2 linked regions of the Lytechinus pictus genome follow. The protein of the gene in region 1 purifies or fractionates together with the protein of each later gene. This does not show direct contact. Links are inferred from orthologs where the notes say so. Each region holds a gene or a part of one and is shown on either strand. Other genes may lie near its edges. The genes, in order: N-alpha-acetyltransferase 30-like; N-alpha-acetyltransferase 38, NatC auxiliary subunit-like.

Region 1 (3,931 bases):
TGGCAGTGAGTCCAAACTTCGCGCGTGTCCATACTTCGCGGAGGGTCATCTAAAAAACTAGCCAATATCCTTAAAATCTGACATCATCAACGTGAAAAGCGACCTAAAATTACCTTTTGGTGTAAGTTTCTTTAGGATGAGTTCAGTATTCATGAAAATATTAGCAAAAGATCGGCAAATTTGTCACCGTTAGCGCCCGTTTTGAAGAAATCTGATATTCTCAACAAGCATCACGATAGTCGATATCACCATTTTGCAAGCAGAAATCATCAAAAATGTGAGTTAAATGTGGTACTAACCGATTCTAGACTATAGGCTATAGCATTTTGCCATCAATCTGATATAAATATTTCACTTTTTGAGCTTGAGTTTTTGTTTAAATGTCCACAAAAACTTAGGTCCGCGAAGTTAGGTCACACTTTTTCTGAACGCTTTTCCAGCACAGCGCGCATTCGCCGATCAGAATATTATTTTGAGATCTCGATACCGGCGAATCCCCTTGACCTACTTTACATTTTCGTCCATGATATTATAGTTTACGATCTTGCCGTCAATGTGGTAACTATTTCTTGAATTGGTTTTGTATAAACTATAAATTATGAATATTTTGTGAAAAATTTAAGCCTGATGAATATTTTTGAAAAGTGTGCGAAGTTTGGACACCCCATCATATAGGCTACAGTACACACCATCAATTTAACTCACACTTATCGCGATGACAACAGATATACAGTAGCCAGTGATTTGGCTCATGTGCCATTCCCTTACATATATCAAGGAATCGTGATACCCCTATTCAACTTGTATACTTAGGAAGTTGAACGAACTGGCAATAGAAACGGCCTATCGATCTGTTGAGCGAGACCTCTCTGTGCAGCTGTGTGTCGCGACTTCATCAATCTTGATTGGGATTCCTCACACTCATTCTTTACTCACATAGATCCACAATTTACTTTGATTAACACTGACTCAGGTCTCAAACGACAGCAACATCACGTATCAGAAAGAAAAACGCAAAACAAACCTGTAAACTCACCAGAAAACATGAAGAAATCAAACATCAGTTTGCACCTAAAAATTGATCCCCTAGCTCGCGCTGCCGTCATATCATATACATTTTGCAGCTCAAAGAAGCTCAAGCCTGGGATGGAGTACCGTATATACCACGTACATGACATACGGTATACCGTACGTGTTATCATACCGGGTAAATGCTCTGCGCTGATAATGTTGCAAGAAAATTCAAGCATCAGTCGGGGCATCAGTCAAAAATCAAGGCGATGTGGGGGGGGGGGGGGGTGGTAGTGATAATGATTATGATGATGATGAACAGCAGTAGCGTACACAGGGGGGGGGGGGGATACAGGTGTTCAAACCCCCTTTAACTTTTTTGATACTCAAAACCCCTCCCTCATATATATTTTTTTAAACTTTTCATTCAGCTTGAACTATCCCCTTTCAAAAATCCTGGGGGCCGATTGCACGAAAAGGTCTTTGCAAGGACCGTCTTTCGTGTCGCCCATTTTTTATGATGCGCCATGTGAAACGCATTTCAAATAAATTATCTGCAAACATATTTTATTCGTCCGTTAAAATAAACAAAATATTTGTTTATAAAATGATGTGATATCTCACAAAATTGTATAAAATTTGATTTAAAAGCAAGCTTACGAATTGTATTTGTTTATCATAAATTTCAGAAACACCCCGCTAATAGCGCATCATAAAAGATGGGCGACACGAAAGACGGTCCTTGGAAAGACCCTTTCGGGCAATCGGCCCCTGCGTACGCTACTGATGAACATCATTGTATAGCGCCATTTATCTGTAAAAATATTCAAAGGAGGCAGTGGACCGATTACCTCCAAAATGTTCCCAATCAAAGGAGTAGCTATAGGGTGCAAAAGATGGAAAGGGTGATGTGAAGGTCAGGGTTGGGCTAAATTACTTTCTTCAATTACAATTGCAATTGCACTTACGTAATTGAAGAAATGTTCAATTACAATTACCTTTCAATTAAATTACAATTTTTTTCAATTACAATTACTAATTACTTTTGTCAATTACAATTACAATTAATTACTTGAAAGTCATAAATCAGATCAATTAATATTTTGTATGTATAGCGCAAGGTATAGCGCCACCCACTTTGTGCAGTTCTTTAAGCTCTTTTCTCCCTATCATGGAAAATGATACAATTTCATGAAGAGAGCACTAGTAGCTAATTAAGGGAATAAAGCAATCCAGAGTAAATTGAATAATAAATTAAGTAATAAAGTAATGTAATTGAATGTCACCTTACCTGTTACCTATAGTCCAGATGCCTATAGTGGCACATAGGGCCCGGGCCACCGAACGTCTCCACCATTGCCTATCAGAGGCCACAGCTCTGGCTTCTGTCCATGTCCTCCATCCAGCCAGGGTCCTTTTTTCTTTTTTTTTATTGAATGTAATCAAAAGTAATTGAATGTAATATAAGTCAATTACAATTTCTCAAATTCAATTACAATTACTTCCCCTTTTAGCATCCCTAAATTAGACCCCAAAAGAGCCAATCTGGAATAAAATTATTGGAAATGGTTTTTTGACTGATTTGAGTAGGTATGGGTGTCAACATTTACCAAAAAAAAGTTAGGAGGAATACGGGTTGGGGAAAGTGCTTTTTTTCAAGGTCAAAGGTCAATGACCTTTTCGTACATACTGTATAATGGTATCTCTGAGATGGAAAGGCGCAGGTTGGTGATCATGGTGTCAAAATGCACAGATTCTTACCAGAAGATCAAATGGAATAAAATTAAGTACCTAGAATGCACATTCACGCATAAAATTTAAGGCCAAAGGTCAATGACCTTTTATACTACATATACCATATTATATAATTGTATCTCTAAGATAAAACGGTGCAGATTGGTGTTCTTGGTGTCAAAACACGCATATTCTTACAGGAAGATAAAATAAAATTAAGCATCGAGAATGCACATTCACCCATAAAATTCAACGACAAAGGTCAATGTCCTTTTTAGATAATAATAATGGTATCTCTGAGATAAAACACCGCAGGTTGGTGATCTTGGTGCCAAAATCCAAAGACTTGTACAAGAAGATTAAACAACACTAAAATAAGTATAAAGAATAAACTTTCACCCTTTAAATCCTAGATCAGAGGAAATATATAATCTATATGATATAAAAATAACCAAAAACAATATATTTTGTGTTCATATTTTATATCTAAATAATGTAAATAACCATGGCTTATTTGTAATGAAAACATGGAGGTTTCATAATTTCGGTCTGAAATAATGACGGCCATGGAGAATGTATTTAGGGGTCAGAGGTCAATGAGCCCTTTCCAAAATACCAGTGGAAATTAAGTTAAAAAAGTTGATAACCAAATAACACTTTTTCATATACTGCGATGCATTGCCAAAAGCACTGAAAAAATAAATGAAATCAAGTATATAATTTGAAATGATTTTTATCTTAAGTAGCAGCATTTAATGCATCATTATATCTAAATCAAGGTTGTCGTGTCTTTTCTCTCCAGCGATAGGCCACTCACCTCAATGTTATAATAAATACTATAAACTATTAGCTTAATCTTCTGAAAATGGATAGGACAGGTCTAACTCTCATGTCACAGCTAGCATCATCTGAGAGCATTTCCAAACAGCAGAGGGATGATGATGAGGATGAAATGAAGGCCATCATTAGAGCTGCAGCTTCTGTCATATACATGTAGTAAATTATATATATATCAACTTCAACAAAGGTGAATACCCGTATTATTAGTACCTTTCATCAGTTCATTGCGAGCTGCCAGAATATCTTGTGATGCTAATGCTGCAAGACAAAACTTCATATCTGCTCTCTGCCGTACGTCACCCATGATGCTATTTCTACTAGGTATCAGTTTGTACAAGGATCATGT
Region 2 (3,931 bases), on another chromosome or scaffold:
AATTATTTATACGTGTGAGGAACTCGATGTTGGCTCTAAATCACCAATTTTGAGGCTAACCGGAGGATGGATATGGAGTGAAATTAGGATGAAAAGTAAGAAATTAAGCTTCTTATTCTTTTTAAGCTAGTTTCCGTATATAGGATTTTTACAATAATATGCATTTTTTCCCACCTTCACGACCTTTGCCACTCGGAGTATCAGAGCGAGTTTTGGACCTGGAGCCTCAAGTTGAGGTTCAGGTAGGTGGAGCGTAGTGTAGGCTGTAGCGGTAGTGAAGTGGAGTGGAGCCTGCACGAACATCACTTGAGCCCGGGGGGGCCACTTCCATTGACGAGTGGATACCATGCGCGACCAAGGGGTCTCGAAAAGCACCCTAAACACGTATTTTCCAAATTCTGAAAATGCACCCCTTAACAAGTATTGGCGTCTGAAACCCTACCCTTAACAAGTATTGGAAACAAAACGATACTCTTGGCAAGTATTCCCTGAAATGAACCCCTAAACAAGTACAGCGATATTTGATTGTTATGTCACGAGTCCATCGGTCGTCGGTTTTACCTTTACAGTTTACACACCATTTGGTTTAGTATGGCCCCAGCTTCCACACCTCGCGCAAATCGGACTCTAATTACTCTAAACACGTAGTGTTGGGGCAAAAAGGACATCCTTTATAAAACATTTTAATTTTGTTTATCATCCCCGCAAATTTGACCCTAAACACGTACTAGCTTTCCTAGCGAAATAGATACCCTTTTTTCATTATTTTTGTGTTTTTGACACCCTTATCACGTTACGTACGTAACGTGCCCTATCTTGAAAAAGACATCCTTTTTACGTGTTTTTTTGGTCGCGCATGGTATCCACTCGTCAATGTAAGTGGCCCCCCCGGGCACTTGAGGTAGGTTTCGTGAGGCACATCCCCATACATAAAAAAAAATTGAGATCAAGTGCCCCCACCAAGCTTATTTCCACTCCTGCTCCACATGCATGCTCTTAGTCTTAGTTTTTTATTTTATTTTATATTAACCTTATGATCACGCTTCCATGCCTTTGCATAATGCATGTTGTTCTCAATCTACACTAACTTTGTTTAGTATAATACAGGTACAGGGGGAAAGAGTTCCATATGCACCCCCCACCAAAAATAACAAGATTGTTGAGACTTCCGGTTCGTTCATCTCAGATTTTTCTATCATTTTTTTACTGTTGCTTACCTTAGTTGGGACTCTAACTCACCTCGTTTTATCTGCAGTCAAGACCACTCTAGGCGACACCCCAATACTTACCCGTGCTAATAAACTGGGACTCCACTCACGCGCATTTGGGCCGCCCTAGCTTAGAACTAAGCAATATTATCTAGAAATTAATAAACTCTAGTCATGAAATATGTTCTATTAAATAAATTGATAATGTTTAATCGGTACTCACCGGTTCTTTTGTTGCATTTTCAGACCATTTCTCACAAATTCTTTGTAAATATTTGCGGCAAATTTTGTCGCCATAGACAGCTATGCATCCATCTTTATTAATAAATGGAGCGCCCTTTACGATAGTTGTTAATGCCGCGGAGAAATCGTTAGGCATTTTGGCATGTGTTCAAGGCGTTCTTTCTGTTTTATTTTTTATATTGAAGATTGTGCATTTGTTGAATAGCGCCGTCTACGTCAGGTATGAGATCGAGTGTATAAATACACTCTTCCAAAATAATTATGATTCCGACCTGGCGCTGTTTAACTTCAATCTCTTTCACCTAAATTAGCGATGAATGCTAGCATTATAAAATATATATTATTAACGTCTGACAAAAAGAATAACCAACCGATCAGCTGACGAGAACGCGAATCACGTGATCTTCATATCAGCTTCGATCGCGAGTCAGAAGAGAAGAGCAACTGCCCAGAAAATCAGGAAAAAGCCGTGAAAATGTAAGTTCCCCTTCATTTCTTTCATTTTTTTGTTGTTGCTAACGATGCATTTACACTATAAAATTATAATTTAAATAAGAGAAAGGAATATAGCTTGTACTTGTGATATAATATATAAATATCCTGTTCTCAGAGATTTCTAACCAAAAATACTACTGATGTCGCCTATGAGGTCCATACATGTAATGTTTGGACCTCATTGGTACTAGGAGTGGTCAAGACCTCTTCCCGCTATGCTAGCGAGAAGCGCTGATACCGGAAGGGGTATTTTAATGATTATCAGCCGATAGCTCGACTAGTCTAGACTCACAGACCCTTTGGCTTTACTGACTAACTTAGTTAAATAAACTGATGTCTATGGACAATTACACGCACTAGATCCTGCTCGAAATTTGACGGAATAAAGCCATATTTTGGTGTGTATTTCCACTCCCCCATCATATATGTTCTAATCTATATTATGGCTAGATATATTATTCTGAACCTTCTCTATATTTTCATTTTCAATTTTAGTGGGGATGCACAGGGTTTGATGACCCACCGCATCACAGGCAAAACTTTACTTCGCCTCTTTAATTGCGACGCTATCCCGATTCGGGTATGCATTAACTTTGAGTATCTTATTATCCAAGACCAACTACAATATCATGATACGAATACCGGTAGTTGAATCTTATTCTTGGTAAAATCAAGCTTCTTTCATTACTTGCATATGAAAATGAGACCTAGGGCCTAAATAAAACTTAAGTTAGAATTCCAAGTTGTTTTTTTTTTACTTACCAGAGTCTAGATATCAGTAACTACTAACTTTGAGGTCCTTTGCGCTCATTTAGAGTGGTCTAACCAGCAGCTTCGTGATCACCGTACCCGCCTTCACCTTTGGTATACCGTACGCTCTCGACCTCGATACCGCGCGTGAGAGAGTGGCTAGTGCATGCAGTGGTGGTGTGCTAAAACCTTGCCCTTGGAAGTTGGAACACAATTTCATCACGTTTCTCTGGCTTAAGCTTGTCCTAAAAAGTTTGCAATGACGACGGGAGCTTCAAACCCAACCAACCCTATTGTTTTCTTTGACATAACAATAGGAGGGCAGGTAATTTTCTTATCATAATCATGTGCTCTCGGACCGTTAGTTACTCCGTGCCTGTGTGCTGTGGTCCCACGTGCTGATTTTTGTGAAGGCCCTGGGGCCCGTTTCTCAACACATGGACAAGTTAGTCATATACATGTATCGCCTTATCGGCATATCTTTATCCACCAACCACGGAGTTAGTTCCAATCTTACTAAACCTGTTTCTCGAAAGGCTTCCTAACTAGAATACCTTGATATCGATACTATCGGTAAAAAGAGCAGACGAGACGTAGCCTTAGTCACAAAATAGCATAATTTTCAAAAAGAAAAATTATAAATATGATATGACAAAATTGCAAATATTATGATGAATTGGGAAAAAAATCTTTTCAAAATAATAGCACAGGTGAATTATGCATCATACATACTTAGACCATGAAGACTGGAGCATTCAATTGCAGAGAAAATCAAATTATGAATAATTCATTTCATGACTAAAAAATCACTTGTGGACGTTGAGATGGGTACCCCCGGCCCGGCAGACCCAATTTTAATAGTTTACGAAAGTAAACCATAACGTTTTTTTTTGTAAAATGGTGATAATTATACGGACTTTTACGATTCCAAACGTCATCAAAATATAGTTTAACGAAACATTTTTAATCATTGATACCGAAAGATACGATATTGGACAAATTATATGCATAAATTAGAGATAGAAATTAGAATTCATCCAACTGTTAATAGGGGTCTGAAAACAACAAATACGAGTTCAGTTATGGATGGCCTGACGTGGTAGAATCTTTATCGATTAAATCATTTTACTATTTCAAAATGAATAGTTTTGTGGCGTTTTACCAACAGTTTATATAGTTTATTTGTATTACAATTATCATTGAATGCATTATCCCACTTGTTTTGTGATGTGATT

The links.
Region 2: the proteins of N-alpha-acetyltransferase 30-like (region 1) and N-alpha-acetyltransferase 38, NatC auxiliary subunit-like purify together in Homo sapiens (co-immunoprecipitation; 3 studies listed by BioGRID and IntAct, with this or other methods). This does not show direct contact. The link is inferred for Lytechinus pictus from reciprocal best matches to the Homo sapiens genes NAA30 and NAA38.

The regions. Positions count from the first base shown.
Region 1 is NC_087251.1:25,285,363-25,289,293, forward strand, and holds the start of N-alpha-acetyltransferase 30-like, read right to left. Parts: upstream 2,400-3,931; 5' UTR 2,303-2,399; intron 1,281-2,302; exon of another isoform or gene 1,025-1,280; intron 932-1,024; exon of another isoform or gene 706-931; intron 1-705. UniProt on the Homo sapiens protein: Catalytic subunit of the N-terminal acetyltransferase C (NatC) complex. Catalyzes acetylation of the N-terminal methionine residues of peptides beginning with Met-Leu-Ala and Met-Leu-Gly.
Region 2 is NC_087258.1:26,236,776-26,240,706, forward strand, and holds the start of N-alpha-acetyltransferase 38, NatC auxiliary subunit-like, read right to left. Parts: upstream 2,816-3,931; 5' UTR 2,709-2,815; exon of another isoform or gene 2,558-2,708; intron 1-2,557. Other genes in the region: peptidyl-prolyl cis-trans isomerase H-like, read left to right, coding at 2,956-3,021.